Linked DNA regions of Astyanax mexicanus. The protein of the gene in region 2 interacts with the protein of the main gene of each other region in a pairwise test. Links are inferred from orthologs where the notes say so. Each region holds a gene or a part of one and is shown on either strand. Other genes may lie near its edges.

The links.
Region 1: the proteins of C-terminal-binding protein 2 (region 2) and zbtb18 interact in binary tests that used the Homo sapiens proteins (3 or more experiments, as listed by UniProt). The two-hybrid records come from large-scale screens. The link is inferred for Astyanax mexicanus from reciprocal best matches to the Homo sapiens genes CTBP2 and ZBTB18.

Annotation. Positions count from the first base shown.
Region 1 is NC_064414.1:22,906,542-22,921,769, reverse strand, and holds the start of zbtb18 (zinc finger and BTB domain-containing protein 18), read right to left. Parts: upstream 5,821-15,228; 5' UTR 4,627-5,820; coding exon 4,578-4,626; intron 3,649-4,577; coding exon 2,015-3,648; 3' UTR 1-2,014.
Region 2 is NC_064422.1:18,505,907-18,521,750, forward strand, and holds the start of C-terminal-binding protein 2, read right to left. Parts: upstream 8,055-15,844; 5' UTR 7,710-8,054; intron 1-7,709. UniProt on the Homo sapiens protein: Corepressor targeting diverse transcription regulators. Functions in brown adipose tissue (BAT) differentiation. Isoform 2 probably acts as a scaffold for specialized synapses.

The DNA.
Region 1 (15,228 bases), on a different chromosome or scaffold from region 2:
TTCTTTTAATTAAGAGTTAAAATCATAAAGGCATCTTTTTCTCAGCATTAATCTAATTTTGTTAAGCTTTTTTAAAAAGGTGCAACCAAGCATGCCAAACATTTTCTCCTGTCAGAGGAAGGATTATGCTTTGAGTACAAAAGAACAAAAACAAAAAAAAAAAAAAAAAACAAAGCACACCACACACTCTCACACGCACACACACTGACATTCACTCAGTCAAATCACACAGATTGGAGCTTTATGCTGTTTACCGATACTTCAGCCTTTGCCACACACAGTAGATCTGATGAGCCCATCTTTACAGGAGCCGACACAGGAGTTATAACAGCAAACTGAATCTTCATGGCCACGGAATTTGAAGCAAGTGCCAATCGAACGGATAAATAAATAAGTTACTGACAAACAAAGAAAAAAAACTAACAAAAAAGCTTGACACGTTTCAAAATGCTAGACGCGAGTAAACAACAGTTGGAGACCAGCAGTTGGAGAACAGCAGCGCGTGAGGAGGTGCTAAGCAGGAACCACACTAGCTTTGGAACAAATGTTCAGCAGGGGTTAAGCCTCCGCTGACACACCAGCCCCGTATCAAACTCCTGCCGTCTACTATAAGCCTGGAGCAAGATGCCTCGTGCACACAGACACACTTCAACATCCCACCTAACATCAGTGCATTTACACCTTACATCTTCACAGCCCAGCAGAATGTCTTAACAGGAGTCACCATAGGAGAAAAAAAAAAATAATAATAATAATAATATTAATAATAATAATAAAAAACCTACTTAGGAATCGAATGAGTTCAATAAAAAATACACTCTCCAATGCAAAACAACAACAAAAATAAGAGTAAGTTAAATAAAATTCATGCAATTTCTACAGCTGTAATATTAAAGTATATATATATTTTTTAAACAGACAGGTGCCCTGACTGTAATGAATCGGTCAATTACAGTGTACAGTAATACAGCAATTCACATCTTCTTTAATATACATGTTGGACGTCATGCAACAGATCCCATTTTGAAAACGAGAAAAAGAAACAAACAAACAAAAAAAAACAGAACAAATTAAAAATTAAAAATACACTACAGAAATCTCTCTAGAAATGCAGCGAACGTAAACCCAATCTCAGTAGAAAACGAGTGTTGAGAGTCTGCAACTAAATCAAAGATGAACAAATCATCAGTTCAATCAAACCATATAAAAACGTGTCAATTGATATGAAAAAGGAGGCTGTACATTGCATGAGTGCCTTTTTTGTCTTCTATCAGTCAAGTTTCCTATCACAAGATTTCCAAAAGGAACAAAAAAATGTACAAGAGCCTAAATAACACAAGCTTGGAGCTTCTCGAGCAAAATCCTCGCAGGATTTAAAGGACTAACTTGTTAACACGCAGCGTCTGCGTGCCGCCACACTCACACACCAGGTATGATATTTGCAAAATAAAAAGGTATAGTAGTGCACGATATATATACACACACGCTCGCGGACGAGCCTCGTGTGTACAGGTAAATATAGGATCGTAGTACCCGTTTAGTGTATGCTTATCAGTTTTGAACTTCTTCAGTGTATTACCTGAAATCTTCATGATTTTTCTTTTCTGTTCATGGCATGTTCAATAAAATCCAGGAGTGTAAAGGAGTTTATGTGTATACACTGTCAAATCCAGATTCACACAAATTTTTGTGTCAAGAGGTGACAGCTGTAGCCAGCACCCATGTCTTTAAAAATAAAATAAACGAATAAAAAACACAACTAAGTAAACCAGAAAATAAAAATCAGTAGTAACATTTTTTTCATGTGCTAGTAAAGTGCAATTTAACAAGATAAGCAATGTACATAGAAGAAACATGACTGATGCAGACCTTTTCCACCACCTCCCTGCCCATCTCTTGACCCCCTTACCTCTCTGCCTCACATTGTCGCTCTCTTTCTTTCTTTCTGACTCTTTCTCTCTCTTTCTTGCTCTCTTAACTTAAAAAGCAATTTGAAAGGGGTTTTCATTAGCTTTCATTTCCACAGTTCTTGAGAACTATCCTCCAGCGCCCAGTCTCTGACTGTGGGCAGGTTGAGAGTCTCACTCTTGACGGACAGAGAGTTGACCAGTTCGCAGTGGAACTTTCGGATGTGCCGGTAAAGGTCCCCTGACTGCGTGAAGCGCCGCTCGCACCACTTGCAGGCGTGCGGCTTCTCGCGTGTGTGCACCACGGCGTGCCGGCTCAGGTTGTGCGAGTACTGGAAGCTCTTGCCGCACGTGGTGCACGTGTAGGGCTTCTCGCCCGAGTGGGTCCGCTCGTGGCGCTTCAGCGTGTACATGCAGGAGAAGGTCTTGCCGCAGATGGAACAGGTGGGCACGTTGACGTCGCCCGCCGGCTTGGCGCGGACGCCCTCCTGCTCACGGAAGTGCGTGCTGAGGTGGATCTGCAGGATGTGCGGGCTGGGGAAGACCTTGTTGCATAAAGGGCACATGAAGATCTGCGCGTGCGGTGCGCCCAGCATGCTGGACACGTAGGGTAGCAGGGAGCTTTCCACGCTGGCCGCATCCTGCCCGCGATCACCGTCACCGCCCAGCACCTCGCTCTCGTCCTCCACCGTCTTGCTGTCCCGCTCCAGCTCACCGGCCAACGACGCCTCACGCAGAGCCGAGAGGTGCGCTTCCAGGCCCAGTCGCCTCTGCTGGACTGAGTGGATGGCATGGGTGCCATTGGTGCTGGGCGGCTCCTTCAGGCCGCTGTGCTCCATCTCGTACTCGCCGCTCGCCAGTTCGTCATCATCAGAGCCCGCATCCTTCTCTACCTTCACCTGCACTAGTGCATTTTGCAGGCTATCTGGGGTCACCGGGCCGCAGAAGTAAGGGTTTCCGCTGGCCACAACCTCCCCAGGGGGCCCACTCAGGCCAGACTTTACTGACAAGTCCAGGACACAGTCAGCATCGGCAGACACCCTGCGGGAGGGCACTGATCGGCGGGACAGTGAGCCAGTGGAACTGCTCGGGCTGCCGGCCGGGGACTTGCCGGTGTCAGGCCCGCGGGGCTCTGCCTCTCTGGGGCTGGTGGCTGGAGAGGCAGTACGTTCTGAGGCCAGCCGCATCCACATGCTGCCCGGCTCCTGCAGACAGTCCCGCTTGTTCTCCAGCTCCTCGTCATCGCTGTGCAGCAGGTCAGCGGTGGCTGGCCGACCTGTGCTGCCGCCTTCCGAGAAGCTCTCCACTTTGTCTGAGCAGCTGGATGCATCCTCCTCGCGCTTGGTGCTGTCAGCCTCAGCTGTTGCCTTCTGCTTAAGCTTCTTCTTGCACACTTTGACAATGTCATACATGTGGAGGTAGCTGGCGGCGGCCAGCACATCCTCCACGGGCAGCGATTTGAACTGGAGCTTCCCCTCGTACATGAACTCGAGCAGGAGAGCAAAGGCCGGGGCCGTGACAATGTCACTGTTCAGATGAACAATGTCCCTTTTGTCCAGCTGGTCCTTGTAAAAGAGATGGAAGTACATGCTGCATGAAGCCAGCACCGCACGATGGGCTCGGAACTGGGCATCGCCAACCAGAACAGTGGAGTCACAAAGGAATCCCTGATGCCTCTGCTCGCTCAGACACTGTAGCAAGTGTCTGCTGTGGTCTGGAAACTCCATGCTGTCTTCATAACCTGCAAAAGACCGCAGATGTTAGAGAGGCCCAGTAGAACAACAATTGTTTTGTTTGCAGCCCTGTATGGAACTTCTTTCTTTTCCCACCCGCTCAGTCTCGCTCTCTCTCTTTCACTCACTCGCTCGCTTTCTCTCTCCCCAATGCACACAGACACACACTCACTGGCTCTCACACACTAATTCTCTCTCCCCTCCCTCCCTCCATCCCTGTGGGAACACTAGAAAAATGTTCACCACAGAGCCGACATAAAAGGATTATAAAGATTCAAGTTCAAACAAATAAAATCACAATATCTGCGATCCCCATTTTTCTTTTCAATTCTCTGCCTCCTAAGTGTATCCAGCTGTGTGTGCGCTTCATATTTAGTTTCAGTAGTTTTTACAGGCTTTTCATTTTACACTTTCTTTTATGACTTTAACTAGAAAAACAGATTAATCACCAGTAGAACTTAAAATGAAAACAAAATTTGTTAAATTGCTTCAGAGATCTTGCTAGTGCGAAAGGTTTGAATGCGCAGTGTTAAAAGCTGAAGTCCCGATGCCACAGATGCCTGCGTGCAAGTCACTTCACTGCTTTTCCTCTTTGTGCTCCTGGAGCAGTTATTTTTAATAACCCACTTTGGCCAGGATGGTGCGTTTAGGTAACAGGCTTACAGGTACACAAACAGCTCAACAGCACAGTCACACTGCAGCAGCACTCCTAAGAGAGTCCTAAGTACCGTGATCTTTAAGGTTACGACACGTAAGGTAGCAGAACATCAGTGCAACTGATGTTACAGTAGTTGTTATAGTACACAGTCAACCGCCAAACTGAAAACAAACAATTCGCTCTAAATAAAATACAATTAAACTGTGCACTAAGGCTGCATCTAATTAAAAAAATCAATAAAGTCAAAGAGGAACATATAGAGAAATGTTAAAATCACACCTGTTACTCGTGGAGACAGCTCCCGCCTCAAAAAATGCATGGGCACCATGTTCAACCAGCGCACTTAAATGAACTCATTTGAATCTTCATTTAAATCTGATTGGGATACCAAGCCAAACCCCCCCTTAAACAGTGCTCAGACCTTCGTTAATGAGGGGCTTACGGGGAGGGGGCAGACGTGGGACAGCCAACCCCTAGCCAACCCCTCCTCCTCCTCCTCTTCCTCCTCCTTCTCCTCCTCTTCTCTCCCCTCCCCAAATCTTTCGAGAAATGGAACATCCTCCCCAAAGAGGCAGCCCACAGCAGATTTACAATACAATCACTTTAAGTGCCCTGTAGTCCACATCAATCCTAATCCTTAAGATGGCTAAAAATAAAGATTGCAGGACAGCTCGCAAGGTAGCAGCGATCAAATTAGGAGGCTCGGAGGACAGAGAGGGACAGAGAAGGAGGCTTATGAACATCTGATCCAGCTGACTGAGGCCATATGGCAGCTGCTGCCCAGATAAAGAGATTAAGACTAGGAGGAGTGCGATTACAGCTGTCTAGCCAATTCAGGCAACTCAAATCTGCAAGTTCTAAATTAGTCACCAACAGTAAAAAAAAAAAAAACATGCATAAGAGATAAATCTGCTGGACAGTTGTTTAGTAATTTTACAATTTGAATTTTTTTATACATTTTGAAACAGACTATTTCTATTATATTTGGCAGTGCCTTTACAGATTAAAAAATATATATTTACAGAGATTTACATGGAAATCCTTTTAGAAATTAAAATCTGGCAAAATTATTTTTAAAAGCATTTAAGCTAATTATTTAGCCGCACAAATAATACTTAAAGTTAACCAAAAATATAGTATATATAAACAAAAAATAATAAACAATCTATCTTAAAAACACACATTAAGAAACTTTTTTCTTTTTCTTCGCGCTAAATGCAACACAAACACACCGCACAAACAATGGCACAACTGTTAGATCTTGGCTACCGTTCGCTATTCACAGCAAAGCAAGTGAAACCAAAACCTACAAACAAACAGCTTTAATGAAAAGCTCGCCTGGTAACCTCGTCCTTACAACAAGAAGTGTCACTCGTCCCTATCCTGGTAACGCTATCCCGACACAAATCTTACTACTTCTTCTCCTCTTCACTGCACTGATAACAGTCACACAAAAGAAAAGAAAAAAAACCTTAAAAACTTAACAAAAGCCTAAATAGTTCCCTATTCAGAACACATGGCTGCTGGCCCGAACCCCCCCTGTCCGGTACGGTACAGTACCTGCAGTACGCATCAACTTGATTAAGTCCACTGTTGTGGTGTTGTAGTGTCTGCTGCTGCTGCTGTAGTTCCCTTCACAGAATCAATGAAGGTGGTAGTAGGAGGAAGAGCAACACAGAGAGAGAGAGGGAGAGAGAGAGAGAAACAGAGAGAGGGAGGAAGAAAAAAAAAATCAAACTGCGAGGGACAGATGCAAAGTGGAGGAGATATTGGAGGGGAATGCGATGCCTCCTCCTGCACACAGATCCGCACACACACTAACTCCCAGTCTGTGCGGTAGAAGAAAAGACTGGGGGATGGCAGCCTGTCAGCTGCTCTGACATCATGTTCAGATGGAAATGCTACCTCCAGCTGTGCTCCTTTTAGTGCCATATGCTACTCCTCTACACTCTTGCCACCAGCCTCTCCTTTATACAACTTTGTTTCTCTTTCTCTCCCTTTAAAAAAAAGCAGGGGGGTGGTGGTGGTGGTAGTAAGGAACTGTTGAGAGGTGATTCTGTGGAAACCTGGCCAATCCACCCCTCCACCCTCCCCCCCTTTACTTGTAATCTCCCAGCAAAGGAGAACTTTTGAAAATAGGTCTGTGTGAAAGCAGACACTTTTTTTCTAACCTAGTTTCCAGCACAGAGAATTTAAATACCCTCAAGTTTTTTTCTCCTCTCTTTCTCTCTTGGTGTTCTCCTTCCAGTAACCATAAACAAAGGCCAGCACAGCGCATTTGCAACTGACAGATCCACGCAGCTGATATTGTTTTCGGCTTCTTTATGGTTCACTGGCCGCACCATTACTGTCATTCATTTTACTAACCCTTTTGGGCCAGTGACGGCCAGGCAGGGGGGTGAGAAATAAAATAATGGACAATGAGAACAAGCCTATAGACCTTATAAGTAGGATCGCAACAACAACAAAAACTGTTACTTAAGAGGACTGCTTGACACTTAATATGAACAGTTTTTTTTGCTTTTGTTCCTCAAACAGCAGAGTTACACAAAATGTGTCTATTTTTTTTTTTACTAGTTAGCTACATAAATCTTATAGCCACAAGTCTGAGGACAAGGCTCAAGTAGATAACACTACCACTACAAACACTACTAATAATAATATAACAATAATAATAATAATAATAATAATAAAACAACAACAATAATAATTGTAATAATAATAATTGTAATAATAATAATAATAATAATAATAATAATAATGCTATGAAGAAGAAGAAGAAATGTATAATAATACAAGTAAGTTATACAACAGCCACTGCTTTTCCACTTAAATGTCAGTCCATACGTTTCTAACAGCTAACTACAGTTTTTTTTAAGATTTATCAAACGTACAATCCTGAGGAAACACAATGAATGAAGCACAAACAGCTACCTAAATTTTAACTTTCTAACCAAAGCACTGGGTTTGAGTTTTAACGCTAACTATTTCCACAATTTTATCTAATTAACCACAAACGCCTCCTTAATTACAAACCAATTTTTCTCATCATTATTAGTGACTTTATTATAATTATTTCGCCAAATAAAATATGAACAGCATTTTTTGTGCGAGTGCAGCTGGCTGACAAATGTGTCAGTAAAACTCACACAGCACAGCTGCACACCGCCTCATTCACACTTCACCAGCCTGCCAGACTCAAACTTGTGCTTACACCCCGCAAAACAGACAAGCGACCAGGCTGCTGTGCTAACTTAGCGACTTTTAGTTCTCTAAACTCAAACTAAAAAAAAAAACACAACAACAATAAATAAACCACGGGACAACACAGTGGCAGATTTCCACTAGCTCTCGGGAACTATCTGACTGACTCGAGCAGTCCGAGTGTCGCTTAGCTAGTTAGCTAACTAGCTTAACTAACTGCGTAACCTAGGTAACGCTAGCTAGCTGGCTAGTTAGTAAGCTAACGCTAGTTTATCCCACTTACGAGCTAGTTAACAGTTAGCTAAGTAGCTAACCGAAGTTAAGTTACTTATAGGCGAAAATACACGGTGGCTCCAGGGTTCTTCACTCACTCCCACTCACACATTTATACACACACAGCGTTCAGCATTGTGGAGGAGCAACACACACAGCACAACACACACGGTGGGTCGGTCGGTTTGTCGGCTGGCTGGCTGTTTCCACCGCTGCTGACCCCCAGCCGCACACTGAGGGGGGAGCTAGCTAGTGGCTAGCTTAACAAAAAAAGTCACCGATCTACCTGCAGGGTTTCAGTTCTGGAGCAGGCCCCGTTTCAACGGTCAGCAGCGCGACGCAACGGTCGCTCTCCAACGAGTGTTTTAACTACAGTGTGAAGCCAAGAACCGTTAAAAAAGAGGAAAAAACAAACAAACCAGCTCGCCACTTTTTCCACACCGATCGAGCCCCGGCTCAGCCCCCCCTAGTTAACTACAGCTAAACATCTCCTTAAAGAGCACCTCGCGTTTTATAAAGCCCACTTACAGACAACAGAGCTCCAGTTCCTCCTCTCCCGCTTCCTCCGCTCCAATCTTCTCCGGGAGAGAGAAGAAAAAAAAAACAAACCAACTGGATCGACTTTCAACGGCTTTCCATACCAGCCCGCCGTGGCATAGAGACGCAGCGGCGGAGAGAGAGAGAGAGCAGAGCTGCGGCGGCGGCAGCAGCCAGATGTTTCCGAGCTGTTGCTACTCAACTCTCCAGCGAAGAGGAAGCGCTTGAGTGGCAGCGCGAAAGCCAATGGAAGAGGCGCGGAGGGCGGCGGAGGCAAATTGGAAGCAGCCGCTGAGGGGGAGAGAGGGAGGGATGAGGCGGCTCGGCGTAGGTTGACACCAGGCAACAGTGAGAAAGCAGAAAAAAAAACAGAAAGGGCCGAGCGGACTGGTTCCTACAACAGACTGGCGCAGAGCACGGAGAGGGGGACCGGCCGCGCACTGATACCTGGGTACTGTAGTCAGAGCGGGGCGGAGAGCAGGAGCAGGTGCAGCAGCAGCAGCAGCAGAGCCCAACTTTACACTGGATCATACACTGGATCACAGGCTCACTCACTGACTCACAGACTGACTGACTGACTGGAGGTGGGAAAACTATATTATACCGAATTAGAATTATTACCATGATATTTATGTAAGGATATTCGTTCAATAAATTGAGCTAATTAATTAAGAACAAATCAAAATGTAATTACTGATAATAATGATTAATATTAATTATTATTATATACTTATAATACTAATCATTATAGCTAAATAGTAACTACTGTTTTTGCAGAGTGGAGAGTGGATGTAAACTAAAAAAATCTAAAAATAAAATGAACATAAGATTTGAAACGTATGTTTTTGTTTTGGTAATGTTCTTGGTTGTGGCTATTTCTTTTAATTATAAAATACTGTAAAATATAGATTACTTTAAAGACATATGTAATAAAAAAATATATATGTATTTTAAGACAATTGATTTTTTTTCCCAGAAGAAAGTGTTCAGTGCTGGTGTGGAAAGCTTTAAATATTTCAGATGCTTGATTAGCCAATTAATCAGAATTATATTTTTGTTCTTAAATGTTATTGTTCTAATATCATTGTTGGGGGTCAGTATGAAATGTTCTATTTTTGTGTTATTAAAAATCACTACATAAAGTGTACGTGTGGTGTAAATCATGTAATACAATAAAATAAACAAATAATTCATAGTGATTACGTGTAATTATAATTATTATTATATTAAAACATTTTCATTTTCAGTTTAGAAAAAAAATGGAAAGTTACAATAATATATACCAGTGAGAGTCACATTGTGACCACTGACTTCGCCACAGTTCAAGCGTTCTTCCTGCAGAACTCACTGATTGCACAGAATTCGACTCAGTGCAGTGTGACTAACTGTGGAGAACGTGTAATCAGGTGAGTGCTGAGGCCCCACAGATGCGTAACTCAAAGTTCAGTCAGGACCTGATGAATGCAGTCACTTGTTCCTCGTATTTGGCTGCCATGGTCCCACACTCAGTGTGCCTCTTTCGCCCCAGTAAATTAATTGGCGTTACTAATACATTTCAAAACAAACCACTGTCCTCCCTAGTCTGGAATCTTGACCTAATACCATTATTATTTAATGCAAAGAATGGCCTCCTCATTAAGCTGATGTGGTGAATGTGTCGGTGCGTGAGCCATTACATGTGGGTGACAGTCTAAAGCACACCGCATTCTTTCTATTGTCGGTGTCGTGCCGCCCAACAATCTGCTCCTTGTTCTGTCAAGGAGTGTTGCGAATTATCGTCATTCAGCATCATTCACATTATTGCTCAATAGAACTGCATGGGTGAGAATGGTCTAGGCTCAAGCTAATAGTCTGTGACTTGTGGGAAAAAGGCTAAACTTGTGCAGATGCATCACTTCCTATTCTTTGACTTTGCACACTGACTATGACAGTGCGAGACATCTATTTTGTTCACAGATTAAACATAAAACAAGAGTTCTATTTAGCATCGTACATCCAAACCCAGTGTTGGAAGTTCTCTGTTGCCACTTTATCACAGCTTGGAGACGTGCCATATTCAGAATACACAGCACAGCAAAGTGGAAAAGTGAGTATTTGGAGTGACATGAAGATTTGTGAACCTTTGAACTTGTAGCAAATTATTATTTCAGCCTACACCAACTGCAGTACCTACATTGTTACTGTGGCTTTTTTAGCAAGATGGTTCTGCTTGGTCAGGAACCATTCAGGAAGAAACGAATCCTCATATTTAAAACGGTGCACACCAACCACAACAGGGGGTCCTTTTTTAAAGGCCATGCCAAGCTTCACTTCAAAAGTCCTGTCTTGTGTGACAGAGAGATACAGGAGAGAAAGAGAGAGACTTCCAGTGATTAGCATAACTGTTTTTGTTCCATACCTCAGTACCACAAGCACCAAGTGGCATTTTTTGATTCCAAATTCTTGAGATTGCCATTCATTGAATATGGCTGTACTATCAGCTCAGGCTGCCTGATGTTTGAAATGATGTTTCCTGCGATTCCTTCCATCTGTTTAAACTGGAACAGTGAAAGATGTGAAGGATTTGTTGGCTCTGCTTTTGAAAAGCAGTGTTGTGGAAAGATATGAAGGACTATTAGAAGTCATTTTACGCTTGTATCATGTTTGGATAATATTTAAAAACGCACAAACATTCAGATGTATGTCTTTTGTCACATAAAATTAGCCTTGAAGTAGCAAGGCTAAAGTAAAGGTTTGTTTTTTTTGAGTTTGAGTTAAAAATTATTTAATTATTTATGATAAAAGAAATATGTCCTAAAAAATCTCCTAAATCTCTGTGTTAATATAACCAATCATCACAGAAGACCTATGAAATGCATGATTTGTATAATTTAAAAGTAACTTCAGTGGGAATCCTTCAGAAATGGCTGCTCCCACCAGTTTCCTAAATGTGCCTGAATTCCTTCCCCTAGAGGTCACTGTGGAACCCGTCTTTGTGAAGGCAACGTTCCTGTGCCTTCCACCAGCTCAGACAGCTCCACTAAGCCTCACATGTCCTATTAAACAATACACACTGCACATGTCCTCCCAGTATGTGTAAAAACACACACATGTACACACTCAGCAAGCATGGAAATCTGTCATTCACCCAGCATGCTTAAGCATTCCTCCCCAATTGCTGGGATTCTCCTTCTAATTATGCTAATACATGTTGCTTGGAGGTAAGAATTTCACGGCGGTGTCTGCCATTAGACAGGATTAGGCAGATGTTGATACACTGGCCTTTTTGATGGGATTAATCTTGCTCCAGAGCACACAGCGAGAGAGAATGTCCAGTAGCATAGCTGCACGGCTGCCCACTGCACAGCAGACACTGAGGAGCCTCGATATGATACGAAGACCATGCTCTGTAAGATCAGTAACACCATAAACAGTGATTAAAACAGTCCAGATTCAGCTGATCCGCAGACTAAACTCGCATGTTGTTACTACAGCCACTTCTCAGAGCATTGCCCTGAAGACGTCGCTGACATTTCACTCCAGGAAGTAACAAAGGAAAGCGTTGTGCTTCGCACCTCTGGGTCTATTGCGTCTCTGGCAGCATCTGGGTAAAGCCCTCTGATTTGTAGGCCGTAAACAAAGCTAAATCCAGTTAACAGTGTACTTAAATGTACTAAAGCACACTCTGTTTCCAATATATAAAGTTTGTTCTGTATGATATTCTGTTTTATACAGAATGCCAATTTAAAAAAGGATATAAAAAAAACAATATATTTCTTTGCATTTATAAAGATGTTTTCTCATTGTCAACATCTGTCCTAGAATGCTAAACATTACATGACACACAGGTATATCATCACATCATATTCCCAAAATATCTGAAGGATCCTCCTTACTTGTAAAGAAACACCCTGACCATTATGGAATCCATTTTTCTTTTTGTGCAAAATTGCTTTCTGGGGAAAAAACAGCATTACTGAGATCTACTAAAGCATGAGTAGACTGATAAATCACTGTTCTGGTGATCAGTCATTTATCTCAGTGTTACTGAGCTCTACTACAGCATGAGTAGGCTGATAAATCACTGTGCTGATTAGTGATTTATTTCATTGTTGCCTTATCTTTTATGAGGGATGATTTAAACTATTCTCACATAAGAGGTTGAGCTTTTTTAATATAATTTTATTCCTATTTTTTTCCATTTTCACATAGCCAATAACCTAACCCACTCATTAAGACTCCCACTATCACTAGTGATGCCCCAACACACAGGAGGGTAAAGACTAACACATGTCTCCTTCGATACATGTGAAGTCAGCCACCGCTTCTGATGCAGCATTGCCGAGCAGGAGGAAAGCGCAGCGACTCGGTTCCGATACATCAGCTCACAGACGCCTTGTGCTCATAGAGTGATGTGTAGAGAAGCGCCATCTACCCACCCGGAGGGAGCAGGGCCAATTTTGCTCCCTCTGAACGCCGGGAGCTGATGGCAAAGCTGCATGAGCTGGGGTTCGAACCTGCGACCTCCTGCTCATAGTGGCAGCTCTTTAGACCGCTGGACCACTCGGCGCCCCAAAAGTTGAGTTTTGTTTAATGATGGCCTTGTTGTAGGCATGTAATGATAACTATTTTTTTAAATTGTCCCAGAAATGGTATAATTGTCATTTTAAGGCTATTTATGACACTCATATAATGATTATATAATAAAACAACAATGTATTTGCCCAATACTATTAAATACCAATGAAGATTTAATTTATTATGACAGAATTTTGGAAAATGTAATTTTAGATTTCCTAAATAGACAAAACAAACAAAATTGTGTTTTTTTTGTCTAGCCAAATAAACACTATGGGCAGTATTGAGGTCAGCAAAAATGATTGGGGTTACAGTCGAAACTGTAAATCTCGTCACGGGCCTACCTCCATGTTTTCTAAATGTATTTTAAATATTTTGTGTTAAACCATCACATCTCTGTTCTACTCCCAAACTCTGCTGTTAAATTAGCACCAGCTGTGTTAAACTGGTCCCCAGTGCGCACTGTGTCGTTGCACCAAACATCAATGTGTCTTAAAAGTGTTAATTTAACACTGATGACTTGACTGTGAAACAGCAGTCTAAGCACAATGTTGAGATGAGGCTGTTAGAGTTACCAGTACAATAAACCGATGTGTTAATAGACACGCAGCAACACACATCTAATGTGAAAACATGTGAAAATAGGTCTGACGAGTGTTGAGCGGCATCCTTGGAAGCAGTAAGAGAGTATACACATTCTCCTCTTCACTTACTTTATAATAACACTCACTCCTGCATTTAATTCTACTGTATACAGATTCAAGAAAAGTGAAAAGAAAAGTATGTTAATCATTTGGGATTACTTGAATTTCTGCCTAAATTGGTCATTAAAGGGGTTCTGATCTTCATCTAAGTCACAACAATAGACAATAGACACAGTCTGCTTAAACTAATACCACACAAAAAATTATATGTTATATGGGGGTGGGGGGGGGGGGTTTAGGGTTGACCCTCCCTTGGCTGCAATAACCTCAACCAAACGTTTCCTGTAGTTGCAGATCAGACCTGCACAACAGTCAGGAGGAATTTTAGACATTCAGGTGCTCTTTTGCAAACTTCAAATGTGCAGCAAAGCTTTTTTTTGGACTGCAGTGGCTTCTCCGTGGTGTCCTCCCATGAATACTTGATTCTTGTTTAATGTTTTCCTTATTGTAGCTTTGTCAACAAAATGTTAGCATGTGCCAGAGATTTCTGTAAGTCTTTAGCTGACAGTCTTAGGATTCTTCCTCACCTCATTGACTATTCTGTGCTGTGCTCTTGCAGTCATCTTTACAGGACAACCATGCCTCGGGAGAGTAGCAACAGTGCTGAAATTTCTCCATTTGTATACTGTCTGTCTTACCATGGACACATGAACATCAAGTCTTGTAGAAATACTTTTGTAACCCTTTCCAGCTTCATGCAAGTCAACAATTCTTAAACGTATGTATTCTAAAAGCTCTTTTGTGTAAGCCATGATTCACATCCAGCAATGCTTCTTAAGAACAGCAAACTCAAAACTGGTGTGTGTTTTTATAGGGCAGGGCAGCTTTAAGCAACACATCCAACCTCATCACATCCTGGCTCCAATTAGCTCTTTGAAAAGTCATTAGCCTAGGGGTTCACATACTTTCCCCCCCCCTCACTGTGAATGTTAACATGTTGTGTTCAATAAAACCATGCAAACATATAATATTTTGTGTTGTGTTAGTTTAAGCAGACTGTGTTTGTCTTTTGTTGTGACCCAGATGAACACATTTAATAACCAATTTATGCAGAAATCCAAGTATTCCTAAAGGGTTCACATATTTTTTCTTGCAACTATATAGTTATAGTTACATATTAGCCAACTTACAATACAATTCAATACAATCATCTGGGCTGTAGCAACATCATATTTGCATAAAAGCGATTTGCTTGTTAATTGCATGTGATTAGGGCGAAAAAAAAAACCTCACTAAACCTAAAGCAACACTACAGTCAGCGGCAATGAATAATAGCATCACCCTTCACTCCGTACCCACCTCCACACTAAACACTGTCAGGTACAACACAGAGAGCTCACACTCAGGGGACCAGGGGCGGACGGGGGGAGGGAGGGATGGGAGGCCCCTCTCATCAACCGGCCGATCACACACTCTCTGGAGGAGAGCGAGGGATTGTTTATCTGGAGCCCAGTCTCTCTCGTCCTCTCTGGGGACCCAGCAGCAGCTCTGAGCCTGCTGCACGCCGCATTCCCACAATTATTATAGCTCATAACAATTAGCATTTAATTAAGCACCCAGCCATATGGAGGAATTCGCTTTTAACCGCTGAAAACATGCTGATGAATTAAGGGTAACACTTTACGGTGAACACCACAGCTGGAAGAATGTGACCG
Region 2 (15,844 bases):
TAAAGAGAGAAAATCAAAGGCAACGAGAAAAAGAATGAATAAAAGAGGATGACAGTGAAGCCCCCCACCACCCTCCCTTCCCTCGCTCCCTTTCATGCTCCATGTTTAGCAGAAGGCTAACCTGAGGGCAGCCTGTCTTCCCCAGTTTACTCCCTTACCTCCCAGTTTAGCAGAGGCGTCACCAGCGATTAGCCACGGCCTCCATCCAATCAATCCCGGCTGAACCGCCGGCTAATGAGCGTGGAGCTCTGCTTGTGTGGAGGAGACAGCCGCCGTTGCGCTCCAGACATTTTTGAAGAGCGAGGAAAGTGTGAGGAGGTAGAAGAGGGTCTACAGAGACCAATTAAAGCGCACATTCAAATTGACCCCCCCTTCCACCGCCAATACCACCCCCACCCACCTTTCTTTACGCCTCAAAGCAAGCAAAACGTGACGAGGCCTGAGGAAGCACTCTCAGGATTTAGAAAAGTAACCTCCCTGTGGGTTCTTTTAGTTCTTACAGGTTATTTTAACCTCAAACCCAGCCCTACTGAGACACTATATGTCCAAAAGCCATCAAATCCTCACTGCAATGCTCAATACGAAGGAAGGAAGGAATGAAGTACAGTGAAAAGGACTAAAGATGGGAAGAGACCTGAAGGAAAAAATAATAATCAGAAGGAAGTACAACAAGAGGAATTACAGAATGATTAGGAAGAAAGAAAGTGCAGAAGGCAGTCAGGGAGGAAAAAGTAAAGGAATGAATATAGGGAGGAAGGAATAAAAGGGAGGAAGGAATAAAAGGGAGGAAGCAGATTTCTGCTGCTGGTGGCTGAAGGTTGTTTATGGGCTGCTCTAACAAGGCCTCTATTGTTGCAGTGAGCCGTCCAACATATTACGGTTCTCCACAATACAGAACACACACATCTGTAGCTCAGCACCGTCCAGCCCTGGGCCACTAACCCCTCCCCCCTGCCACTAAACCCCTCCACACCACACACCACACTCCTGCTGCTGCTGTACGGGGACGGGTGCTGGAGTGTGCTGGTGAAGCTGGGTCCCATTTAGCAAGCCCCAATCAGCTCGCTCCAATCAATCAATCAATCAATCTTCAATCATCTCCTTCAGAGACACTTTCTATCCCACTCAGCTCATCATAAAGTCCCTATGTCCCTTGTCCTGGTCTCTTGTACCAAACACTGTCCCAACATTTCAGCTCGAGTCACCTGACCAGCAGTGAGCTCAGCTTCACACTCAACACACTGCAGTGAAACTAAAAACTAAACAATTAAACAGTGCAGACCCATAGGAAAGTTGTATTGCTCAAATGTTGAACTTTGATGTCTCAGGAGATGTATTTAGTTTTCCTTACTTTCTCACAGGTTTCATTGTTTCATAGGTTTCTTTTAAAATTGCTTAGAAGGAATAGACAAAAGCATTAGACAAAAATGAGACATAAGACACTTCTTATGGGGTTAAAGGGTTCAAAACTGAGAATGTGGTTTTAGACACATAGTACACTAGTACACAAAAAACGTACGATATAGGGGTGGGTGATATGGCCCTAAAATAATATCACGATATTTTTAACATCACAGTATTATCGCGATAACAGATATGACAAAATATAAATATAAAAAATATATATTAGGGGCGGGCAACATTATATCGTATACAATATATCGTGACACAGAAATATAATGATATTAAAAATCCATATCGTGATAATAGGGCTGTTCTGTCTTAAAAGTAGTATTATTCACTGTGAGGCTTTAAGTGTATTTATTGTATAATTGTTTTAGTTTGCAGTTTATATGCATGCACTAAATATTCTGCAATATTCTTTGCTGTATTATATTATTTTATGCTACATTATTTATTTTGCCACATTATGATTCTGTTATACTATTATACTATATTCCTATTATATTATATATATCATTATATATTCCTCATATTTTAGTTTTCCTATATCGCCAAGTATATATCGTTATCGCAAAAATGCCCTGAAATATTGTGATATTATTTTAGAGCCATATCGCCCACCCCTAATATATATTTCACCATATATCCATGATTAAAGTAAAATAAGTGATACTAAACAGATATAATTTGTCTATAGTAGATGTATAATGGTAAATGTGTGGTAAGTGTGAATTTTTGTTTTGCTTAAAACAGCCAAAAAAAGTAGTACCCTGATGTGATAATTAGGGGTGAGTGAAATGGCACGATATTTCAGGGTATAATATTGTTCACGATATAAAAAATGTTGGCGATACTATCGCATACGATATGATATGGCACACCTCTAGTACGATATGAGTACTTTTTTGTATTCAAAAGTATACTCTTCATAACTGTACCCTCAAATGAATACTATTTTTTTTAGAGGGTCAGATGTGTTCTCTCTGAAGTACAAATTCATTCCTTAAAGAAATAAGTACAGATTTTTACCACTTAACCAGTCAAAAGGTAAATTCAGTATTCTTTATCACTGTACTAATAAACTAATTTTAATTGCACATTTTTTTCACATTTGAAAGCCAGACAATTTTGTATCATCAAGTTCTTAACACATTTATTTATTGTCATTTATATGATGATAATGTTTATAATCTTTATCATTTTTACTGGCATAAAAAACATGGGTACAAAGAAAGGACTTTTAATGAAAGGTAATTATTTGTACCTCAGTATAATGTACAGCCCCAGCGACAAGCTTTGTACTCTTTTAAGTACAAATCTGTACTTACTTTTCTTAGTGTGTAGAACAGGGGAGATTTGTTGGTGGGTATCAACCTGGGTATCAAACCCATAACCTTGTAATCAATAGCCCAGTGCTGTAACTACTGACCCAACTGTAAGAACTGATCCAACTGCTGATCCACCACTGCCATCAAGAGCTATAGAGAACCTCAAAAGGAGACACACGTGAGACCATACTGAGCTCTTTATGTCAGGAGACAAATTTGAGCAGCAGGAGACTTATGCTAAAGTCTCTTAAAAGTATTTTTATTTGATCTCATTGTTATCTAAAAAAAACTACAGAGATATTAAGTAGATCTCCTTTTTGATTTTTCTTTTCTCGTCTGGAGTTCGTCTGGTTTATTTTGACTTTAATATTAAAATTGGGGAATTTGTTTAGCGTAATTGTGTTGTCATATTACGAGTAAAATTGCCCAGTTTCAAAGTGTAAAAATACAGGAAAAACATTTGTATTTACTTTTGGAGCACAGAAACTTTTTTGATGTGCTTAATTAATATACTAAACATAAAGTACATAGAAAAAAAAAATACTAATTAAATTAAATGTTTTTATTACCCTCACACAGTTAATTTTACAGATAACACACAGAACATACAAAAAGATGCAAACAAAAAAAGTGTTTGTTTGGTACATATTGATTATCTTTAGAGTTTATTAGATAGATTTATAGATAAACATATTCTACTTACGAATGGGTAAGTAGAATACCCATATTTCTTGCTGTTTTGTAAAGCTCATGTTAGCCTGAATGAAACGTCAATTAACCTTAATGTAAAAAAAAATATATATATATATATATATTAAATATACTATTTTGTACCATGTTTACAAATCCATCTATCCATCCATCCATCATACAGTGCAGAGCTGTATCTAGTCTCTATGGTGTTGTACAACTGACATGCCAATATTTACAGAGAGTAGTATCATGTAGGACTCACTTTAAGCCAATCAAAATGCAAGAACTCAAAGTGATTCTAACAAGTGGACAGAAGACATCTTGAAGGATGTTGACAACTTGGGTTGGGTCCAAGCCTTCATGGGGTCTACACGAAACAGCTGCTACCATGGCTAATTGGACATACATATACAGTGTATACATATAAACACACACACACACACGCACACACACACACATATATATATGCTGTTTTTCACACACTATAAGGCACACTTAAAATCCTTTCATTTTGCCAAAAATCGTCTGTTTGCCTCACGTATGAATTTTAGAAATATCAGCTGTTAGCCTACTGCTTACCCCCTGGCTAGCACTGCTGGAGCAGCATTAGCCGCTAACCGCACTAAGCACTAGCTCTTTCACTGTTCAGAGGCAAGTATATCTGTATATAGGACGGGATGCAGGATGAAATAAACAGAAGCACTTTACTCACCCAAATAAACAGTTTTCAGGGGGAAAATCTGTGTTACGGTTTTGTTTGCTTAGCTTTACTTAACTTAGTTAGTTCCACCGCCCACCACCACCCAGCGGCAAGATCTGCTGAATTAGAAGGAAAAAATAGCGACACCCCTGTTCCTCATACCTGTCAAGTTTTAGATTTAAAAATAAGGGATATTTTCCTCTGTCCTCTTAAAGTCGTCCCACCAGCCCAACGAAGGTTCAGTATCCCTTACATTTTAGGACAAGTTTACAAAAAATCTAAAATAACCACATGTGAACCACTTACACACTACAATTAGATTATCAGAATCTGAAATGTTGTGGACATTCCTACATATGTCATTCTTTTAATACAGCCAAATTAAAAACCCTTTTCTAGATATTTAAGAAAAGTTAAGATTTCATGTCTTTTTTGGCATAAATGCACTCTTTTATATAATATATTTTTTATTTATTTAATAGATTTAAAATTGAACAAAGGGTGCACAAATTCTGCAAAATGACTGTAGGTGACCTTAAAATAGTATCATGAGCTTTTACTAAAAGGACATGGACCAGATATATTCCATCAGTAAAAATTAGTCCTAAGTGGCCTACACAATTAATAATTTTTAGTTAGTACTTCTTTCTTTTGATCACTCCACCCCTGATCAGTTCAGTTCATTTCGGTCCTCTCCACATTTCTAGTTAAGCTGAGTCACAAGGTGTAATTTTTTTATTTTAAAAGGTTTAATCTGTGTGTTTTATTTCGGAGACGAGTGTTTTTTAGCAGCTATCAGAAAAATCTTATCACAGTTTTCATGATTAGCCGCCTACCATTACCTTTCTTTTAGAAAAATCGCTGAATATCCAGATATGTTTTAACATCAGCAGCTCCGACTAGCTGCCTGAACTCACAGCGACGGGGGCTTCCCCACACTGACCCTCCTTTGCCATCTGATTGGCTGTTTCTCCTGAAAGGCGGGACTTTCTCCTTGAACCGGTTCCACGATTGGTTAAGAGACACAGAGCAGTCAGCTCCCTGTCTCCTCAATAATATATATATTTTTTAATTTTAATATAATACGGGAAATTTACGGTAAAATACTAATACGGGAGGACGGCGGGAAAGAGGAGTAAAATACGGTAGTTTCCCGGCCAAAACGGGAGACTTGACAGGTATGCCTGTTCCTTACTAGGGGCGCATAATGTGCCTTATAATCTGGTGCATCTTATAGTGCAAAAAATACATTTAACTTAAATGTATCCTATTAGGTATGTATTATAAATATCTATTGTAAATGTATGTGTATATATTATGTGTACATGTCAAAATACAAATACATGTCACTACACTGTGTATACACACTTGAGCAATTCTGAGAAATGTACAGCCCTCACCATTCCTCTGACAAATCTAACAACCAGAGCAAATAAAAAAAAAACCTACAACAATGAACCACGATATCCAAGAGCATCACGTCCAAATCATAAAAAACACTTCTATTAGCACTCCTCTATATACACTGATTAAACCCAGCTGATAAAACAACATTAACCACATTCCTGCCCTCTGTAAGAGGATCTGGCACTCTACAAGACCCTCAACCACAGGGTGAGGATTAAAGATCTGTGTAGAATTAGACATGCGGTCCACTGGGACAACAATTAGCACACTATCCATCCCCTCAACCACCCATCCCTCTTCATCATTACCAATTAATAGATTACTAATGAGATCCAGATAAGGTTACAAATACCTGTTAGAGATGTGATCTTGTATGTATCTTACACCACAACACAACATAACAAGAAAAAAAGCTAGGGTTGGCATTCAATCAATGTCAACACATTTCTGATATTTAAATATACATTATTTACAGCGAATTACATGAATTGGTTAGTTTCTGTGGCCTTTCGACTTATCGACTGAAATGAAGAAATATATTGAAAAATAAATGTCTATATCATCCAGATAAAAAAAGATCACTTATGATTCTATTTTATTATTATTATTATTATTATTATTATTATTATTATTATTATTATTATTATTACTATCAATCCCCATTTAGTCTCTTTGCTTGGTTTCAGGGTGGGCATAAAACAGCAAAATATGAAAAAAATAAATGTACCAACAGGTTTTATGGGACATAGTAACTACTGCACACACTGCACCCATTTGAGGTATTTGAAGCACTTGCAGGTGGATGAATGGTAAACCTGGTATGCATTAAAAAGTATGATGAAAATTGTGATATTACCAATTGGTCATAAAAATAGCAATATGTCTACTAGTATATATGTCATCATAGTCAAAAAAAAGTAAATGTCATAGCCATAGATTAGCATTAAAAAAATATATAACCATAAAATATAAATGTACGGTTAACATCTGGGAGAAACTACAGTTAGATAAATCGAAACACCAGTATAGATATATTACAAGCTTTTTTAACCCCTTATCTGAGTAAGTAACTTTCAGGGGGTGGGGGATATTTTTGCACGTTTGGCTCCATTCATTTGGACCATTTGGTTTGCAGGTGGACGAATTGTATAAATATTATTATATTTATAAGTCATACTGTATATACAGCTCTGGAAAAATAAAGGGACCACATACAGCTCTGGAAGGGACCACTTCAGTTACTGATTTTGCTATTTATAGGTATATGTTTGAGTAAAACAAACATTGTTGAGCATTTAATTGAAAAAAATGAGAAATGCTCAGAATAACAAAAAAAGATGAAGAGCTTTCTGTCCTCAAATAATGCAAAGAAAACAAGTTAATATTAAAAGTTTTAGGAAATTTAGAAATCAATATTTGGTGGAATAACCCTGGTTTTTAATCACAGTTTTCATGCATCTTGGCAGCATGCTCTCCTCCACCAGTCTTACACACTGCTTTTGGATAACTTTATGCCACTGCTGTTGCAAAAATTCAAGCAGTTCAGCTTGGTTTGATGGCTTGTGATCAATTTTTTCAAAGCTATATTATATTATATAAATATATACAAAATATAATATAATACAATATAATATAATATTATATATATATTAATAATACAATAATAATATAATAATACAATATAATATATACACACAAGCATTTTATATATATCATTCATTACTAGCCATATATGGGTATATGTTGGTTCTGCAACATTGAGAAAATCAACATTGCCTCAGAAATAATGGTACACGCCACCTTTTTTTGATGAATGAAACATAAAAATGGGGTTTAAGACCATAGTCAAAGCGAAATAAACACAGTAACGCGTCCACACCTCTACTAATTACCGTTAAGTTAAGATTCGTATGGCAAAAAAGGCGAAAACATGAAGTTGGAATTGATTTTGGAATTCTTCCGTTCCACCTTAAACAGTGCGGCAGTTCCATTTTGGCGCTTAAGGAGTCAGAATGGAAATGCTGCCCTATTTAAGGTGGAACGGAGGAATTCCAAAATCAGAAGCCAACTTCAGCTCCGTAAACACATGGTCAAATCCAAACACGCTAAATAAAACACAAACAGTCACATATCCGACCTCAAAAACGCATCCGAAAACACAGAAACAGCGAGCGTACCTCAACGTGAAGAGCGGTCAGCGCGAGTTACGGTGAAGGAGTTTCTCCTAATGTTTTTAGGCGTCCAGGGATAGCATCCCAGCTCGGCAGAAGGAGGACAGTAGTCTTCTTTTTGGAGAGGGGGATACTGTCCTCTTTCGCTTCTTTAACGCGATACTTTGTATCCAGTCTGAGGCCGCGGGCGCGCGCGGCGAAGAAAATCTGTAGCGAAGAAAATCACGAGAAAACGGCGATGCGCGCGTGTTTTCGTGCCGCGCGAGCCGAAGGGAAACAGTGTAGCAGTGTTGGAGAGTGTTGGAGAGGGGTGGTGTTTTTTTTTTGGTCTCTCTCTCTCTCTCTCTCTCTCTCTCTCTCTCTCTCTCTCTCTCTCCACTCTTCTTCCTTTCTTTATCAAGGCGGGGTCTTGGCTCTGCTAAACCAATGACACAAAGCCCAAAGAAACAGCCCCCCCCCCCCTCCACCTCCCACCTCCCATATCCACTACACACACACACACACACACACACACTGGTGTGTATTCATATCTTTGTCAGTTGTTTCTGTATGACTGTCTAAATGCTGCTGCCCTCAACCCTGACCTTTGACCCCAAGCCAAACAATAGATCAGTTCTTGCCTATTTCTTCATTTTTATTTCTCGTAAATTATGTTTTTCTCTTTTTTTATGGAAAATCTTGATGTTTTACACGTTTTTACATAGTTAAAGAAGAAACTGTACTGTACTGGAACAACAAAAAAAAAACAAAAAAAAAAACAAATGTTTACAATTTCACACAATACTACAAAAACACACACAAAAAACCACTGGAAAAAAAATTACGGAAATGAACTGCTTCAATCGCAACAAGCTTCTTATACCATCTAAACAGGAATTTTGGACCACTCTTCTTTTGCAAACTGCTTGAAGTCTCTCATATTTCAAGGATGCCTCCTCCCACCAGCAAGTTTAGGATCTCTCTTTATGCGTTCAATGAGATTTAGATCCAGTCTCATTGCTTGGCCACTCCAGAACTCTGACTTCAGAAGCATTTTGTTTTCATACATCTCTGGGTGCTTTTTGAAGTATGTTTGGGGTCATTGTCTTGTTGGGAGACCCATGACACAGTATGCAAACCCAGCTAATCACAGAGTATTGTTATGATTGATCTGATTACATTTTTAAAATAATTTTGTTTCTAATTTTTCCCATTTACACGGCCAATTACCCAACCCACTCATTAGGACTCCCTCTATCACTAGTGATGCCCCAACACACCAGGAGGGTGAAGACTAACACATGCTTTCTCCGATACATGTGAAGTCTGCAACCGCTTCTTTTTGAGCTGCTGCAGCATTGCTGAGTAGCATCATAGCGCACTCAGATTAAAGCGCAGCGGCTCGGTTCTGATACATCAGCTCACAGACGTCCTGTGCTGCGGACATCACCCTAGGAGAGATGTGGGGAGAGAGCGCCATCTACCCACCCGGAGGGAGCAGGGCCAATTTTGCTCCCTCTGAGCGCCGGCAGCTTGATGGCAAAGCTGCATGAGCGGGGATTTGAACCTGCGACCTCCCGCTCACAGTGGCAGTGCTTTAGACCGCTGGACCACTCGGCACCCCTGATTAAATTTTTTAACCAACTGACACCACTAATACAAACACATTTACTGTACACTAGCTCGGTGTGTCACGTACACTGGAGCGTAGCGCACTCGTGCGACCCACGGTAACTCGTTCATCAGCGAGAGTAGTCTTTAAGAAAGCAGCTAGCGTACATAACGATTAGCGTTTACCACCGACTGTGAATAATTTAGCTGCAGGCTTTAGAACGGCTCTAAAGAGGCTGAGTGATGACGAGCCATTCACAACGAGCTCAGTGTGCTCATGGTATAATGGCATTTCTGAGTGTATAAAAACACGGGCTTCAAACATCTCACAGCACAGGTATTCAGCTTATTCCAACCTTCAGCTTCTGAGAGCCAACCTCCACAATTTCTTTTTTTTATGCTTGAATAGTTTATGTGCTCTAAAGTAAACAAAGAATAAAAAAAAATAGGACAGACAATAGGACAAACAGCGAGCCTATGTTTTGTTCTGCTCCATAAGTTCGATACGGTTCGATGAGAACGAGAGAGAGAGAGAGAGAGAAAGAGAGAGAAAGAGACAGTGGGAGAGAAAGTGAGTGAGAGAGAGAGAGAGAGTGAGTGAGGGTTTATCGCGAGGCCCGGAGGAGTGTAAATATGGATTAGGCTGATGTCTGTCTTCATTAAAGTTTAACAGTGACAGAAGACTCTGGTGAATTATTCATTAAAAACTCCGGCAGATGATGTTATTTATCGCCCGGGTGTCACGCGCCATCTTCTCTTTCATCCTAAACTGGTGATTTACATGTTGTTGTAACGTCTAATGTGTTGTGATGAATCCTCCGGGCGTCGCCCGCTAATTCTCCGACTTCGCCGCGCTCAAAATACCCATAATGATCCTACATTATAACGGAATGCAAACGATGACATAATTGTCAATCATTAGTAAAGCATCATTCACAAGTGTTCTACAGAGCACTAAACTACAGCTGTCACGATTCATCAGTTACGTTTGATTAATAAATGCAAATAATCAGTGATTAGTTGAGTGTACATGACGGTAATTGCATTGCATACTTTGTAAACTATAATCACATTTGGCTATTTGCCTTTGGTTAGTAATAAGGTCAAAAATTAACTAAATAATGATGCGATTTCAAACAGGTGATGTGAACAGGTGATTATAACCATGATTTAGTCTTTGAGGAGCAATGATGGTCAGAGGATCGTCAGTTTGTAGCAAATGTGAGAAAATGATTGAAATGTATAACATTAAGGAATTCTTTATAGGACTAATCCTAATCAATATAGTGTTCAAAAGTAGGGAACAGTGAACTGATCCAATAAAAGGAACAGGAACAGCTACATTATAGTGGGTCAAAATAAGGATCAGTGATTAGGGAACTGTTAGTGTTCCTTATAACAGTGCTCTATTTATAGCACCAATGTAGGAATCAGTGATTGAGTATTGACTATTCCTGTTATGTATGATACTCTTCAATACTGTATATATATATATATATATATATATAGTATACGGTGCTTATTATAGGAAAGAAACACTATCCCAACCAATCTAGCGCTGTATAAAAAAGTATTTGCTCCCTAAACCTATAACTTGTTTGTGTCACTCATCAATCACTGCAATCAAGCTTTACAGATAAATTTTGCTCCACTTTTCTTTACAGAATTGTTTTAATTCAGACACATTGGAGGATTTTCCAGCATAAACCACCTGTTTAAGATCATGACTTTGACTAGGACACTCCAAAACCTTTATTTAGTTTTTGTTTTTTAAAGCCATTCAGAGATGGACTTGTTTGTGTGCTTTGGATCATTGTCCTGCTGCAGAACCCAAGTACACCTGAGCTTGAGGTCACAAACAGATGGCCGGACCTTCTCTTTCAGGATTTTCTGGTAAACAGTAGAATTCCTGGTTCCAACTATTTTGGCAAGCTGTCCAGGCCCATCACACTACCACCACCATGTTTTACATTCAGTATGATGTTCTATTTTCTGACATTATGTGTTGGTTTTACATAGAGGTGGAAAGTAATGAATTACATTTACTCAAGTTACTGTAATTGAGTAGATTTTATGAGTAATTTGTAATTTTTAAAGTAGTTTTTAAAATAGGTAATTTTACTTTTACTCAACTACATTTTGACACAAGTAATTTACTTTGCTACACTGGAAAACTCACAATTACTGAGTAAAAAATAAAATGCTGAGGAAAAAAAACAATTGTCTGAATTAAAAAAAAATAGATAGAACACAGATGCTCGCGCGTGGAATAACGAGGCAATAACGTCCTCATGCAATGCAAAATGTGCCCCACCGGACAGAGCTGTTCAGCTTTCAAAACTTCCACATCAAACCTGTGAAAGCATGTAGTGGTAATTATTTTTATCATTAAATAATCTGCTTGAATGTTAAAAAAAATGTAAATAGCAGTTAAAGCATATCAATGGCAAGTTAAAAAATAACAATGAACTGTAAAACTATAAAATAACAGTTTATAGTCTCCTATATTACCATAACTTTTTAATAGTAAAGAAAAAAATGGATCATAGAAACCTGGGCCACTTGTTCTTGAAAATGTTTTATGGGGTGGTCTAAACAAATACTGCCTGAAAGATCCAAATTATTATGTGAAATAATAGTTCATTAAAAACAATTTAATTTATGATTTGTTTTTACTTTTTTGCATCAAATAATTAAAAGTAACTATGTAACTTTTACTCAAAGTACATTTTAAATTAAGTACTTTTTACTTTTACTCGAGTAGATTTTTAGATGGGTACTTTTACTTTTACTTGAGTAAAATTTTAGCAAAGTAAAGGTACTTTTACTTACAATTTTTCAGTACTTTTTCTGGTTTTACAGCAGATGTAATGGCACACACCTTTCAAAAAGCTCCACTTTTGTCTCTTCAGTCCAAAGAATATTTACCCAAAGTCCTGGAGATCATCAAGATGTTTTTTGGTAAATGTGAGATGGGCCATTGTGTTATTTTTGGTCATCATTAATACTGATCTTAACTGAGGCAAGTGAGACCTGCAGCTCTTTAAATGTTGTTCTGGGTTCTTTTGGTACCTCCAGGATGAGTTGTCCATGCCCTTTTTTTAGATAGCTAAGAGAATAAAGTGAAAATAAATGATGCAACTTCATTAGACGAGATAATGGAGAATGCAATTGTGCCAGGATTGTTTGATAAAAATATTTTAAAATGATATTTAAGGTAAAAATGATCTTATTTCTTTTAATAAGACACACTCACCCCTCCTCTGAACTCTCCTGTGAACTGAACTTCATTTACAGGCCACAAATTTTTTTAAGGGGAGAGGTGGAGCTTTTTAAGTTGAGGGTTTGATGGACTGGACCCCTAAACCACTGATTCTAGAATCACCCCAGGCCGAGAACAGTCATATGGGGACTATTTCTGTGTGTTTAACCTATGAAAGGGTGTGTTCTATATAGTGCTACTGTGAAGGGAACAGTGATAATCCTCTCCATCTCCTCACCCGTCACAGCTGTGATCTCAGGACGCCTAAACGCCTAAAAGGAGTGTGCTGATGTTGATGCTGAAGTTGAAGCTGATGCCTCCTTTCTCCTGGTCCACACTACATCCTGTACACATGCTAACCGGCTGACCCTGTGGGGGGCTTCTAATGTTCCGCTGAGATCTAGTAGGTGGAATTCATTATATTACTGCAAATAAGGTCAGGGCCGGCCTCGGCTCGGACCGCCTCAGAGCGCCCCTCTCGGCGTGACCTCCGACCTCCATCTCCATAGTCTCAGATTCACAAGCCGACTTCACAGAGCATCTCCAAGGACCCCTGCTCACAATGTGCACACATACATTGAGCATATAGGCCGAGCGTATATAGACCACGGACGGATCCCTTGAGAGCCACCTCTTTCAATCTAAGAGTGAAAGGCTGGATGGAGCACTCCTCCCCCCCCCCGAGGCTGTGCGCTGGAGGATCTTCTTGTTCTCTGAGAATAGAGGCGAGGTTCAGGTATAGATCTGGGGGGGAATGTATAGAAGAAGATGTTCTGACACTCAACAAAAACCTGCAATCTAAAGCCTTTCAGAACGCGGTCGCATGATAAAAACAAGGTTCTATAGGCTCCAACCGCATTCACCACCACTCTAATGCAGTTGATTGACAGCTATAGAAATGGGAATGCCTGTACTGGAATGAAAATAAACATGTTACAGGCACAGTGTATCATTTGTTATATACAAAAATGCAGAATGCAATACTCAAATACTCACATTTCTTATACAGCTCTGAAAACAAAAAAGAGACCACTTAAAAATGACGAGTTTCATAGATTTTACCAAATTGAAAACTTCTAGAATATAATCAAGAGGAAGATGGGTGATCAAAAGCCATCAAACCAAGCTGAACTCCTTGAATCACCAGGAGTAAAGGCATAAAGTTATCCAAAAGCAGTGTGTAAGACTGGTGGAGGAGAACATGCCAAGATGCATGAAAACTGTGATTAAAATCCAGGGTTATTCTACCAAATATTGATTGATTTCTGAACACTTTTTTTTCTTTGCATCATTTGAGGTCTGAAAGTTCTGCATCTTTTTTGTTATTTCGAAGTGGTCTTTTAATTTTTTCCAGAGCTGTATTAAACATAACTGTTTCCCTTCTCTCCATTCTTCTATTTCTCCCATTTTCTCAGTTTCACACTGCAGTTTAGTGGAAGTGGCATTTGAGTGCAGTATGTCCTGTTATTGTTATTGTTATTGTTATTGTCCTGCACCAGGAGTGGCATAATGTTATCCAAAAGCAGTGTGTAAGACTGGTGGAGGAAAACATGCCAAGATGCATGAAAAAAGTGATTAAAAAACAGGGTTATTCCACCAAATATTGATTTCTGTACACTAAACTAAACTTTATGAATATGAACTTGTGTCTTTTTTTGTTCTTTCAGCCATTATTCATTTCTGCAAATAAATGCTCTAAATGACAATATTTTTATTTGGAATTTGGGAGAAATGTTGTCTGTAGTTTATAGAATAAAACAACAATGTTCATTTTACTCAAAGATATACCTATAAATAGCAAAATCAGAGAAACAGATTCAGAAACTGAAGTGGTCTCTTAATTCTGTCTCCTAAAAGTGGCATAAAGTTATCCAAAAGCAGTGTGTAAGACTGGTGGAGGAGAACATGCCACGATGCATGAATCCGAATCTTCTATTTCTCCCATTTTCTCAGGTTGTCTCTCCGTCATCTTTGATCATGTTTCAGGCCGGATGAAAGAACAAACCAGGGCTGATGTGTTTGTTACATTGTATGCTGTATATTTAGTCCAGTTAGTTTTGGTTTCACATTGCAGTTTAGTGGAAGTGGCATTTGAAAAAGCAGTGTGTAAGACTGGTGGAGGAGAACATGCCACGATGCATAAATCTGTGTTTAAAAGTTAAAATCTGTGTTATATAACTTAATTTTGGGAGTTTGATGCACGCCCTTACTCCTCCCACTGTCTGACCTGTATAAATCGCCACTTCCTCTCTACCTGCATGTCGAACAACCTCGCACCCACCTCCTCCCCATCTTCCTCATTCAATTTTTTTCTTTTCTCCTCCTGTTTCTCTTTGTGTGTGTGTGTGTGTGTGTGGGGGGGGGGGGGGTTCAGCTTCATGCTTTTCCAGCGAAGCTGCCCCGAACTCCTGCCCAATCATCTGAGTTCACTCATCTTTTCTTTATCTTCTCTTTCAGTCAAGGGCGTGGGGAAATACTAGCAAAACCAGGGTTATTCCACCAAATATTGATTGATTTCTGAACTCTTAAAACTTTATGAATATGATTTATTTATTTATTTATTTTCATTATTTCATTATTTGAGGTCTGAAAGCTCTGCATCTTTTTTAGTTATTTCAGCCATTTCTCATTTTATGCAAATAAATGTTCGAAATGACTCTAAATTTGGAATTAGGGAATTTTACTCAAACACATACCTATAAATAAATTAAAATTAGAGAAACTCATTCAGAAACTGAAGTGCTCTCCGAATTTTTTCCATAGTTGTATATTGTTTTTTTAATTTTAATGCTTTAATATTCCTGAGTAGTTATAAGCTACAGGTGGCATCAAGCCCCAGTGACCTCATAAAGTAGTACTGATACAATAATACACTGGTACTGGGAATACTGGGAACTGTATGTCTCCTTTTTTCATCTGTGATGAAGAACAGAGTTTGGAGGTGGCGCTGGTGTTTCAGGGGGGTGGTGATGATAGTGGTAATAGTGGTGGTGGTGTGTGCGAGGGTGGGGGGGTGTTTAACAGAGTTCCCCGCAGAGTGTTCTTGAACTTGTGAAAGGGGACGGACGTACTCGGAGCCCAACTCCCCGGAGTCTCGGCTGCGGCGCTGGTTCCCCAGGAGGCCGACTGGAATCAATTCCGCTAATGATGTTTGTAATTTAGGAGAGTAATGACATGCACGGCAGCCTGGAAGATTATGTCGGGGAGACGCTTCCACCAGTCAAGTGGAGGAAAAAAAAAAAAAAAAAAGCTCCGGAGGGCTTTCCCTCCTTCCTCGAAAGTCACAGAG